3 linked regions of the Oryzias latipes genome follow. The protein of the gene in region 2 binds, or shares a complex with, the protein of the main gene of each other region. Links are inferred from orthologs where the notes say so. Each region holds a gene or a part of one and is shown on either strand. Other genes may lie near its edges.

The links. The genes of interacting proteins can lie anywhere in the genome.
Region 1: rbl1 (region 2) and mybl2 share a complex: the UniProt entries of both Homo sapiens proteins name them as parts of the DREAM complex. The link is inferred for Oryzias latipes from reciprocal best matches to the Homo sapiens genes RBL1 and MYBL2.
Region 3: rbl1 (region 2) and lin52 share a complex: the UniProt entries of both Homo sapiens proteins name them as parts of the DREAM complex. The link is inferred for Oryzias latipes from reciprocal best matches to the Homo sapiens genes RBL1 and LIN52.

The regions. Positions count from the first base shown.
Region 1 is NC_019863.2:23,223,541-23,227,758, forward strand, and holds the start of mybl2 (myb-related protein B), read right to left. Parts: upstream 2,801-4,218; 5' UTR 2,563-2,800; coding exon 2,543-2,562; intron 2,268-2,542; coding exon 2,171-2,267; intron 1,185-2,170; coding exon 1,113-1,184; intron 116-1,112; coding exon 23-115; intron 1-22. Other genes in the region: uncharacterized protein LOC101163484, read left to right, coding at 4,149-4,173. UniProt on the Homo sapiens protein: Transcription factor involved in the regulation of cell survival, proliferation, and differentiation. Transactivates the expression of the CLU gene.
Region 2 is NC_019863.2:32,786,893-32,790,920, forward strand, and holds the start of rbl1 (retinoblastoma-like protein 1), read right to left. Parts: upstream 2,801-4,028; 5' UTR 2,691-2,800; coding exon 2,529-2,690; intron 966-2,528; coding exon 832-965; intron 706-831; coding exon 502-705; intron 119-501; coding exon 54-118; intron 1-53. UniProt on the Homo sapiens protein: Key regulator of entry into cell division. Directly involved in heterochromatin formation by maintaining overall chromatin structure and, in particular, that of constitutive heterochromatin by stabilizing histone methylation.
Region 3 is NC_019880.2:13,721,197-13,725,351, reverse strand, and holds the start of lin52 (protein lin-52 homolog), read right to left. Parts: upstream 2,801-4,155; 5' UTR 2,798-2,800; coding exon 2,764-2,797; intron 2,713-2,763; exon of another isoform or gene 2,653-2,712; intron 1,978-2,652; coding exon 1,924-1,977; intron 1,308-1,923; coding exon 1,233-1,307; intron 1,157-1,232; coding exon 1,119-1,156; intron 1,022-1,118; coding exon 955-1,021; intron 194-954; coding exon 110-193; intron 1-109. Other genes in the region: pomt2 (protein O-mannosyl-transferase 2), read right to left, coding at 3,777-3,882, 4,068-4,155.

The sequences.
Region 1 (4,218 bases), about 9.6 Mb from region 2:
TGCTAATTGAATGGCAGCTTACCTTCTCGTCTTCCTCTTTAGTCCACGGACCTTTAACCAGCTCGGGATCCAAAACCTTAAACCAGCGGTGCTGACACTGGTTCTCCGAGTGGTTCTGGACCAACAGAACAAGCGTCAGGTTTGGAAAAACGTCCTAACTAAACCTCTGATCCCGATCATCTCCAGATCAATCCCAACATGTTTGTCACCAAAACAGTACTTGCAAAAAACGATATTGAAATAATTGTTAACCTTTTCTTCAAAAAAGACAAACAATTGTTTAAAGTACTTTAAAAAGCAGTTTTCTTTCTCTCTCTACAGGATTTGAAAAACCAAAAAAAATGTTTTTTTCTGAAATATATGTAACTTTATTTTTTGCTGCAGGTTTGTCCTTGTTCTTTTGTCATCAGAAATAATGTGCAGATTAAATCCTCTCACCTTAAATTTTTTTCTGCAATTTGAAGGAATTTTTATAATTTTAAGTCTTTTAATCCCAGATTTTTAGTGCAAAAAAAGTTTAAACAAACAAAAAAAACATCAAGTCACCCAACTTTGACAAATCCAACATTCGGTTTACCAAAATCCTACAAAAGGGGATTCTCTTCTTTGGGAAAATTTGAACTAGGATTAAACTCTAAATGCTTTATAAAAGGGAAAACTGAATATTAAAACTGCCTACGGTAATCGCTGAAACTTGGTTTTATATTTTTAAGTCTGAGCAATAAAAGTGTTGGATAATTGCAAGAAAACATTTCAGTGAAAGAAATCATAAAAGCAGAGGCGGAGCTAGAAGATTTTAAAGGGGGGGTGGAAGACTTTGAAAGGGTGGCAACAAGAACTTTTTTTTAAAATAATTTTTTTTAAAATTATTTTTGCAATACTTAAAGAAGCTAGTATTTATGATTTCTAAACCTATGAAAATAATGATTATCATATCAACTCAAATATTAGGAGGCTAAGATTTATGCAGGGGGGGGGGGGGGGTGCCCCCTCTTGCCCGCCTGTAGCTCCGCCCCTGTATAAAAGTAAGATTTCGTAAATTTGTATAAATCAAAGTTCCTGCAGTGCAACACAAAGTGATGATCAGACAGATACGCCCCTATTAGACCTACAGGGAGGTGGCTGCAGATTCGTTTCCAGTCATTTGTCCCCAGTTTTTGAACCAGACCTTTGAGCTTGTCGTCCTGCAAAAAACAAACAAACACAAATCATTTTTGTTTTACGCTGCAAAACCACGAGGGCTACTATATCAGTGTTTTTCAACCAGTGTGCCGTGGTGCCGGGGGAGATGGTCTGGTGTGCCGTGGGAAATTGCCCTCATTAACTGATCTAAAAAGATTTCCCAACTCCAGGATAACAGCTCTTTGTTCATCCAAACAGGCCCTGATAAAACACTGAGTAGTTAGGAATATGAAAGACCATAAAATACATTTTTCTTTGTGTTTATTTGATTCTATTAAAGACATGTTGATAAGAATGACGGTACCGTGATTTAGCCGCAGCTACAGTTGTATAAGGAATAGTCCCGCCCCTTTAACTGTCTCCACCAATCATTCTTGGAGGCTCAATCACACGTCAACAGTCTGACCAATCAGAAGTGGTTAAAGTCTTCACTTCCTTGTTCCGATTCTGCTCATAAAGTCTCTCAGTTCCAACAAAAATATCAGCTAAAGCTCGTCTTTAGCGGTGCAGCTTTCCACAGAATCTGGTATCAGACCGTGGAAAAAGTGGACAAAAGAATGAAGCTCAGAGACGCTAGTCTTTCTGCGTTCTGCGGCTGTTTGCACTACATCTCCCATGATGCATTGGGTTAAAGTGACAGCGTCTTAGCGCAGAATGAGTCGTCCTTGTTAAACGTCTTGAAACCACAACGAAAACAGATCAAACAGTTTTTAAATCTTTTAACTTAACTTTTATTACATCTTTTAGAAAAAAAACAGCTGCAACTTCCAGCTTTTTCTGCCACAATTGTCACAAAAATGCATGTGAGATTGCGGAGGGGCTGTAGTAGATCAATACAGACTGACTATAAGTTTTTCCTTTTTTCTCTCACATTTTTGGATGCTGGTGTGCCGCAGGATTTTTGTCAAGGTTAAAGTGTGTCGTGGCTCAAAAAAGGTTGAAAAACACTGCACTAGAATCACAGGCCCCACTCAGGGTGAACTTTTACCTCCTCCTGCGTCCATCTGACCTTTACTTTCCCTCCATCCCTGAACTCCGTCAGATCGGTGTCCGTGTCCGGATGCGCGGCCTCCTCCCCGTCCTCCCTGCCGGGACACATTAAAGAGGTTGAGATTTGACCCTAAAGGCGCCGAAGAAAGACCGGATCCGCGGGATTGCGGCTCAGCTTTACTGACAGGAAGCAGTGATCTGGAAAAGTACCGGCGGTGATTCTGGTCGGAGTTTGAGCCAAGTCCGGAAAAAAGGCGGCAGTCAAAGTCCGCGCAAACTCCCCACAACCCGATCGGAGCAGAAGTCAGCTCATCAGATGCAACATAAACAAACAAGCAAACTTAAAAGCAAACAAAAACACGGATCTTACCCGCGCGGCCACGATGACATTTCCCACTGTTATTTGGGTCAAACGTGGACTTCACCGGGCTGGGCTGCAGGTGTTTGCGGGAAAAACCTGCAGGTGACACGGCTGGGTCGTTGCAGGATGTCCAGTTCTGACGAAAGAACCTCGACTGCAGTTATAATAGAGCCGGGAAGCCACAGCTAGAGGTAGGCGCGAGCTTCGTCCGCGCGCCGCAATTTCTATCTCGCGCCCTTCTCCGTACTGCTGACTCTCAAGTGACGTAGGTGCTCCGTAGATCTGCGCAGAAGGCTTCAAACCTCTATGGATGACCTTCAAAATAAAATGTTAAGACGCTTTATAATAAAATAAATGTAATGTTTGGTTGATTCAAAATGGTTTTTAATTAGGTGCTGTAATTAAGATTTATAAAATAAATAAATAATAAATAAATAATTTAAAATATAATAATAATAATAATTATATAGACAAAAAAATACAACATAGAATTGAAAAAAAATGATATAGACAAATAAATGAATGAAAATATTGAAGCAAAGATACATTGTCCTAAAAGAAATAATTACACTACAAAACCAACTTAAAAATAAAAGAGCCAAACTAACTTAACTAACTAACTAACTAACAAATAAATAAATAAAGCTAGAAAAATAATAACCCAAAAAGTTAAATTTAATCTAAAACCGGAAAACAGTTAAAAAAAATAATGAAAAGGTTAGTTTTAAATGAATCAGTATATGAATATATAAAATATTTGTGAACTCTTCTTATAAGCTAAGATAAAATGATTAGTCAATAGTTAGGTCTTTTATGATTGTTGCGAGTTGAAGGTAAACATTGTTCATCTTATAACTTTTCTTTTAAGCTCAATCTTCTCAATCTCAGTAAAAATTTGGATAGAACAGTTCTCATTAATTAAGATCAGCGAACAGCTTCATTTAGGCCTGTAATTTAATTTGACTTTTAAAGTTTACTTGTAATTTTGATTTCACATAAGAAAATTAAACAAAATTCAAATATTTGGATTAGAAAATGGTTTATTTAAAGCAATCAAATAAGAATAGTACACAAAAACAATACAATCATCAGTTAGACATTCATACAATGACCTATCAAACTGATATAAATATCAAAATATTATGATTAAAAAATAGTGTATTAGTTTAGGGGAATACATGTACTTATGGTTAACTCTAGGGCACTATCGCCGGGTGAATTTCCCCAGAGAAAAACTACTTACATGAAATTCAATATGTTGTGTTTAAATTCTTTTTAGGAATTTTTCTGTTCTCAAATTCCTAATTTTTCAGGAATTTTTGAGCATATTTTTAGGAACTCCCTATGTTTTTCTTTTTCATTTTGTCATACATCCCACAGTTGAAAATAAAAGAAAACCACTCTAATTTATGTCTAATTTATGGTGTTGTCATGTTTTGATCTTTTTCTTATGACAAGTACTTTTTGTTGGGTATATTATATTTGGTAGAAATTACACAAATGCAAAACTTCCTATGCAGCAGGAAGTCTCCATTCAGCTAATCAGCCTCCAGCTGGGACAATTAAGAGGCAGGTTAAAACCCAGCAGACTGAGCCCTTCACATCTCCAGACAAGATGGAGAGCACTTGTGTCTTACAAGGTAAGGTTTTCCCCCTCCTCCCTGATGAACAGTTTGAGAGCAGAG
Region 2 (4,028 bases):
GCTCAAGCAAACCCAGAGGGTTCAGGAAGGTCGTCCGGCTTGTTTCTCGGTACCTTTGGTGTAGACAAAGAGGGTCCAGCAGAACTTGAAGACATCACTGATGTGACAGGGCAGCCGTCTGCAGACACACAGGAGCAGATCCTAAAGCCCAGAACATTCCGGAAAACTCCACATCTGCTGAAAGCTGCTGTCGGTGCAAACATGCAGCAGCGTCTCTGACGTGGAGGTCAGAGTTCAAGCTGTGTCTGCAGTAGAGATGGAGCTGCAACGGATCCCAACACTCACGGTTTGGATCATGTCTCAGATCAGTAAAAAGGATGAAACATCAAGACAAAAGCCTAAAATGTATTTGTTTTTGTCAAAACCTTTGCTCGGGTTTTATTTGAACTCAAGATATTCCAACAAGACGCAATGCACCATGTGTGTATGTGTGTATATATAGTATACTGTGGACATGTATATAGTATACACCGTCATGCCTGAGGCGCGCCGGCGTCCCACCTGTGCTTCCTGCTGCGGGGCTGCCGGGGGGGCTCGCTGCCCTGTGGGTTCTGGAACATGTCCATGAAGATGGGCTCGAACTTGCGGAAGATCACGGTGGACACCTCAAAGTTTCGCTCCAGCCGGTCCATCCTCAGCCGGAAGTCTTGTGACAGGTTTGACATGTCGGCCCACTTCCTCATCTTAGAGAAGAACTGGATCAGGCTGGGAGGGGGGCCGACAACAAACGGGACCAAACATGAAGACGCAAATCCCAAAGTTGCACAGGCGGATCCCGTTTGACCGGGACTGGCTGTAAAATCCAGCAGAAGCTGCAGAGCAGAACCTGACCTGAGCTTGGAGCAGCGCAGGATCCGGGTCAGGGACACACAGTTGCCCTCCATCAGCCCCTTCCCCACAGTGGGGGTGGACCCCTTCCTGCAGGCGGCGTACAGAGAACAGGCCAGCCAGTGGACCACCTCCCCCTGCAGGAACACAACGGCACATTTCTGCATCGTCCAGCTCTGCCCACCCACCGGTGCCCGAGTGCCCTTGGGCCTGTTAGCGTCTGGCATGGCAGCTGTGCCTCCATTGGTGCGTGAATGAAATGATTGGTAAAGGTTCAGGTTCTTCTGAACAAAACCCTGTGCTAAACCCTCAGGAACAGCTAGTAGATGAAACATGAACACGTTCAGCATTCAGTCACATTTCAGTAAAATACTGCGTTTTATTTCATTCTTTTCATTTTGCTCAAAATAGACTTTACATCTTTAACCATATGAATTCATAATGAGGTGTAACAGCTGTTTTATGGAGACAACAACAGAGATAAACGATTTCCTAACGTTCACTCGTCTAGTTAAAATAACGCATCAACATAAAATCCAGTTATTACAACTAAATGTACAACATTTGGATCCGTTTGGAACCAAATATGCTACAAAAATGCTGAATTTATTCACCAGAGTGACGTCATTTTTCTACATTTAAAGAAACATTGAATCATGTGAAGAATTTCAGGCATCTCCATCTTCAACGCCATCGTGTTAAACAGCAGCAGGAGCGCACAGAACAAATCCACCATCTCAACCCTGAGATCAAACAAATCCATAAAAAATCATCAAATAAAAACAACTAAACTCATTTCCTCCAAATGGCCCATTCACTGTAACCTTTTCCTGTTTTTAAATATTTTTATTATTTGTATTTATTTAAATTGCTGTTTTAACTGTTTATTATATTTTATATAAGTACATATGATGTACAGCAACCTTGAGTGCTCAGAAAGGCGCCATCTAAATAAAATGTGTGATTATTATTACTGTATATTAATCAAAGAGCTAAAACAAATCTAGTAAAGTTTTGGACGTTTCTGTTCTTTGGGTCACTTTTCTAGACAGCAACAGATAAATGAACAGAGTCCCTTTTAAAGCCACATCAAATCAAAAATCCAGATATTAGACGCCTTTGATTACAAATCCTCCTTTATGCAGGTGAGTCGTGCTGTGTTCACTGCCCTGTTCAATCAGTAGGAATTTATAATTCTCTTTACGCCCCTCAAATACTGTTTTCTTGCTAATATTTTCTTAGTTTTTGCTAAAAAAATAAGGACTTCATATTTAAAAATTCAGTGCATCCACCTCCATGTTGTAGATAATAAATACACCTTCCGTTTATTGCCATCTATTTATTGCCATTAGTTACCAGGTAAACCTAAAGACGAGGCTCCTCTTCCCGTCACCTGCAGCATCTCGCTGTGACGTTGATTCAACAACGGACGTAAACAACAATCCTATGACTCAAATCAACACCTGGATGTTTTAACTCAGTCTCACAAATAAGCCTCATTTCAGTGTTTCTGTGTGTAAACACAAAAATCTCCGGTAAGCTTCAGGAAAACTCACGTCACAGCATCATGTATTAATGTATATCATGACCGGAGGTCGCAGAGCAGAAGCGCTCGTTGGCTCATAGCGGGTCAGTCTACAGCGCCCCCGGGAGACTCTAACCCCCCCCCGAACCGAACCGAACCGAAGCCAGTCGTTTACCTCCAGAGTGTATGTGTTCCATATGGAGGTGAAGTTGTCCATGGCCTCACTGGCTGTCTGCTCGTCCATGTTGAGCTCCTGACACAGCACCTCCAAACTCCTCCGGACCGAACTCTCCTCCATCCTCCCCGACTCAGAATCCGAAGACTCCTCCCCTCTCATCCACAGAACCAGCGCTGCCCGTCCGCGCAGCTCGAATCCGACCCACAGAACCAAACAACGGCGGAGCCGAGCTCTCACCACAACAACACGGTTCCCGTCGCTTCCGCTAACAGCTCCCAGCATGCAGTGCGGTGGCGCGAAAACTTTACCCTTCTGACCAATCAGAGGCGAGAAACCTACGCCCCCCTCTCCCCCTTTCTTATGTACCGGATGTCAACTTTTTTTTCTAAAACTTTATAAAAAACAAAAGCACGAACACATTGAAGGCAAAAACTTCTCTGGCCACTAGGAGGCAGGGACATTAGTTATCATTATCGGTTATTATTACTGGTTATTATTATTGTTAATTATTATTGGTTATTATTATCGGTTATTATTATTGGTTATTATTATTGTTAATTATTATTGGTTATTATTATCGGTTATTATTATTGGTTATTATTATTGGTTCTTACTACTGGTTGTTATTATTGGTTACTACAATTGGTCATTATTATTTGTTATTTTTATCGGTTATTATTATTGGTTATTATTATTGTTAATTATTATTGGTTATTATTATCGGTTATTATTATTGGTTATTATTATTAGTAATTATTATTGGTAATTATTATTGGTTATTATTATTAGTAATTATTATTGGTTATTATTATTGTTAATTATTATTGGTTATTATTATCGGTTATTATTATTGGTTATTATTATTAGTAATTATTATTGGTAATTATTATTGGTTATTATTATTAGTAATTATTATTGGTAATTATTATTGGTTATTATTATTGGTAGTTACTATTGGTTATTACTCCCTCCCTACATTTGTTCCTTAATCACAAGGAGAAGTGTGGAATCTCACTCCTCTGATCCTTAGACGGTTGTTTCTGTTCCATTTGCTGCACAGAGCTGGGAAAAAGCCTTAGTCCACTCTGCTCCTCCTGCTTGGAAAATGCTGCAGAAAGACTGGAAACTAACTGAACTGGTATCTTTAAATGTTTTTAAGAACAAGCTCAAAGCATCAGAGACTGAAACAATAATGTGCAACTGCTTCTCATGATGTATGTGGTTTTAATGATGTTTGTTTTTATGTATTTTTTTGTATTGAAATGTGCCTCTGGACCAAGACTCCCTTGAAAAAAAGATCTTGTCTCAATAGGACTACCTGGTAGAATAAAGGTAAAGTAAAAACCTCTGGAAAAGTAATAATAAAAAGAAACATTCAAAAATCACAATTTAAGCATTTATAGCTCAAACCTAGATATTTTGTTCAAGTGGAAATACAAATTTAAACAGCATAAAACGATGGACTAAAAACGAATGGGGACATTTAGTTTCTGGGAT
Region 3 (4,155 bases), on a different chromosome or scaffold from region 2:
AACCTGTTTGGAATTTGAATGTGGAAGCAGCCAAAGACTTCAGCGGCAGAGAATTGCGTGGAAATGCTTTTAGCCCCCCCTAGTGGTGAAGTGTCTTTGTTATACTTACACTCCTCTAAACCCAGCTGGTAAGCCAGATTCTGAAGTCCTTTGACTTTTTCCATCAGATTGGCTGTAGTCAGACTTCCCAGCTCTGCAGAGGTATAACATCACACTAAATAAAAGCATTTAGAGATACTTAATTAGCTAAAGAAACATGAATTATTATTTAAAGTCCCACTCGGATTTGATCTTTTGATCTGTTGTAACCCTTGTGCTATCCTAGGCACTTTAACGTTGGGAGTTGGGTCATGTAGACCCACTAGACAGTGCGCTGAACTTTTTTTCTTCAATGATTTATGATCTTCACTGGTGTCCATGGATTACATGAAATCTTTCCACCTTTATCCACCTTTGTCATGGTCGGAAGAACACGTCAATGTAAGGGTGGGGTCATCTAAGATAGCACAAGGGTTAAAAGGCGTTCCCAGAGGTCTTTTAATGAATGATTATGCCGTTTTTTGCCGAGATAGAAAAAAAACACTGTGTGATTTTTAAGGACAGTTAGAGCAGAGCTGCAGTAGATCATCAGTTTATACACTCTACTGCTAGCTTACAGCCACTCACACCCCCAACCTAACCTTAGAAACGAAAATGGCGAGCAATATTGATTAAGAAATAAGAAATTTCAAACAGCATTTTTTCATCTGCTCCTGATTCACAACGATTTGAATAAATAAGAACTCAGAAATGCAATTTCAAGCTTAATTTTCTTTATACGTGTCCTCCATTATCAGATGTCAAGATATCAAATGCCACAAGAACATGTTCAAAACACGGTTTTTCTTATCAGAGTGGGTTTTTAATGTTTTCCCTAAGGTTTATACAGGATAAATGTCAGCTGTCTGAACCAACCTTTCAACATTTCAATGTCCTCACTCTCCAACTCAGCCATCCACTTTGGAGGAGAGGTGGTGATAGGCTGCAATAAAAAGAGAAAAACAACAACATACAAAGTCTCAACTCCAATCAGTCTATGCAGAGTCAATCCTGCATCTTTAGATCAGAGCTAAACTCACATTTTTGCAAGTTGCCGCAAACTCTGCAACTCCAGGCACTGTGTGAGAATTCACATAAAGAATCAATTACAAAGTAATTTTTTATCAGCTGGGCGTGGGAGGATAGAAACTTACACTGCTCTGGCCACAGGTCAGGTGATGCTCTGTCCAGCTTCTCAAAACTCAGCAACGAAATCTCAAAATCCTCCCCTGCAGAAGCACACAGTGGTTCACTTTGACATGTTCTTTAGTTTTTTAAGTTCTATGCTTTTGGAAATCAGTGGTCAACTATAAAATTCAGCCAAATGTTAATTTAAAAAAAATTAAAAAGTAACTTTTTATAAACAGGTCAAAAATTGAAACCTAAAAACAACTTTTGTTTCATGTTTTATCTAGACAGAAAGAGAGGAAAAAATCTAATATTTATCTGGTCTTAAAATTAGGCAGTTTCGAATGAGAATAAATGGTTTTATTCATTTAAGATTCGTACAAACACTGATCAATTAAAATGTTCAAAGAGGTCATAGTCATGTGGTGATCTGATCATCTACTAATAACTCTTACACTGCTGTAAAAATATGTTTGGCCATTTAAACAGAAATGCCTCGTTGATGTGAGAGATCAGAGGAGAATGGCCAGACCGGTTCCAGCTAATAGAAAGGAAACAGGAACTCAAAGAACCACTGGTTTCAACCAAGGTCTGCAGAAGAGCATCTCTGAACAACCCTTGAGGCAGATAGGCTACAGCAGCAGAAGACCACACCTAATGCTGCCATTACTGTCAGCTAAGATCAGGAAACTGAAGCTTTAATTCACACAGGCTCACCAAAACTGGACAATAGAAGATTAGAAAAACATCTGGTCTGAAGAGTCTCCATTCCTGCTGGGACATTCAGATGGTAGCATCAACAACATAAAACCATAGATCCATCCTGCCTTGTATCAACAGTTGAGGCTGCTGGTGGTGGTGGTGTGATGGTATGGGGGATCTTTTCTTGGCACACTTGTTAGAGACACTTTTCTTTCTTATTTGTCTGTATATGTATAAAGGGTTTTCTTTCTTATCAACAATTACTTTTGCTATCAAATCTGAACACTGGTCCTTCACCAATATAGAGAATTGTATCCAAAATTTCAATAACTCTTGACAGAGTGTGAATTACTAACTAATAACATTATTGGTTCTGCAGACTGTTAAACTTTTTAGAATTTGCTTTCAACATTTTTAACACATTAAAAGATACTCATTACGGACATAATACTTAATAGCAGACTGATTCCATTTTCAATCAAAGGAGTCGAACAGTCACACAAAATCTAACAAGCAACCAAAACAGCTACTACTAATTTAAAGTAGAGAAAAATAACTAAGTGCTAAATGTAGCACTGATGCTAATTCGAGCCAAACGGCCAAACGAAGCAACAAGAAGAACAATCTGGACTGCTGCTGTCATCATCAACGGCGGACAATGTCAGTCCCAGAATCAGGAAAAACAAAGGAAGAAAAACAAACCGATTAAACAAGAATTTAGTCCTACGACAAATTTTACGTTACCTCTGGGTGTTCACATTACACTGCGTTATAACTGTTAACGACTTAAATGTCTCGAAACTGTCACATTTGCGATGTATTCAAAGCGTATCGGAGAGAAGAATTAAAATTTACCTCCATTTGGAGACGCCATCTTCAAAATAATCATGTGACATGCAACAACCAATCGCAGCGGCCGCGCTCTGTTTTGAGGTGTGGCGATGTTTTTCAAAATTACGCCGCTAGAGGGCGGCAATGGTGCTCGCGCTGTTTACAAGAGGCACAGAAGATTACTGTTCGTTTTATTCAAAGATTTATATCGTCTTAGAAATTGTAGTACGAACATTACTGTCATAACTTAATGAAAAGACCCTTATTTAAGCCCACCATAGTCTCAATGAAATGTTACAATGCTGGTACATTTTATGGTTTTACCTTAGGGGACATTTAAATCACCTTTTATTCCCTCTAGTTTTTATTTCTGGAAAGAAAAACCATAACTCAATTATTAAACAAGACTTTCACATCCCAGATTTGGAATGTTTTGCATTTAGTTTATATTTTTATAACAACAATTTCTTGCATTTAGTTTACTAGGCCCATGTTTCACAGATTTTACAAGTTTGAACTTAAGTATACATAAAAAAACGGTACAATTTATTATATATATATATATATATATATATATATATATATATATATATATATATATATATATATATATTGAGTTTTCCAATTTTTTGACTTTGCGGCACATCTCGTTTTGTGTTTGTAAATTTTGCAAATATAACAGGACATGAAATACAAGAATAAAACAATTTATTGATCAACATAATAAAAACACAAAATCAAAAGTATAATACTAAAGCTCAGGACAATCTCAACTAAAAATACATGTAAAATGTTCTGGCTTTAAAAAAAACAACAACTACTGTCTCTTTCAAATGGAATTTAGTTTGTCACTAAAGGCAACTTGGTGACAACTCCAGTGCATCTTAAAAGATTCTACAATCTGCTTTCCAAACTGACTGAATTCACATTTTTTCTTACAGAAAGACAAATGAAATGTTTAGACTCAAACTGATGTTTTGAAATTCCCTCGGCTCAAAATGCTCCGTGTCTGTGACATCTTAATCAAACAAGGATAACTAGAAGTCCCAGGAGTCTATCCACTTCAGGCCTGCCATGGCACTGCCCGGCTCATGGGCAAGAGGACCCATCATGCCATAGGACAGAGGATGAAAAAGGTAGAAACTGGAAGGAAGACAAAGATCTACTCAAAATCAACAAATTCTTTATTGCCTTTACATTCCCACCAACTAGATGTAAATATGAGGTCTGCCTTACAGTATTTAGCACTTTGCAATGCAAAAAGTTACGAGAAGAGTTACTTTCACCTGATATAAACTGCAAAGTTAGGGCTCTCTTATGAGTCTCACCTGTAAAGGATGCTGAGCTGAAGTAGCAGCCATCCACCAACTTTCAGCCGGTCAGAATAAACAGAGTGGAGCAGCAGGTCAGAGCTTT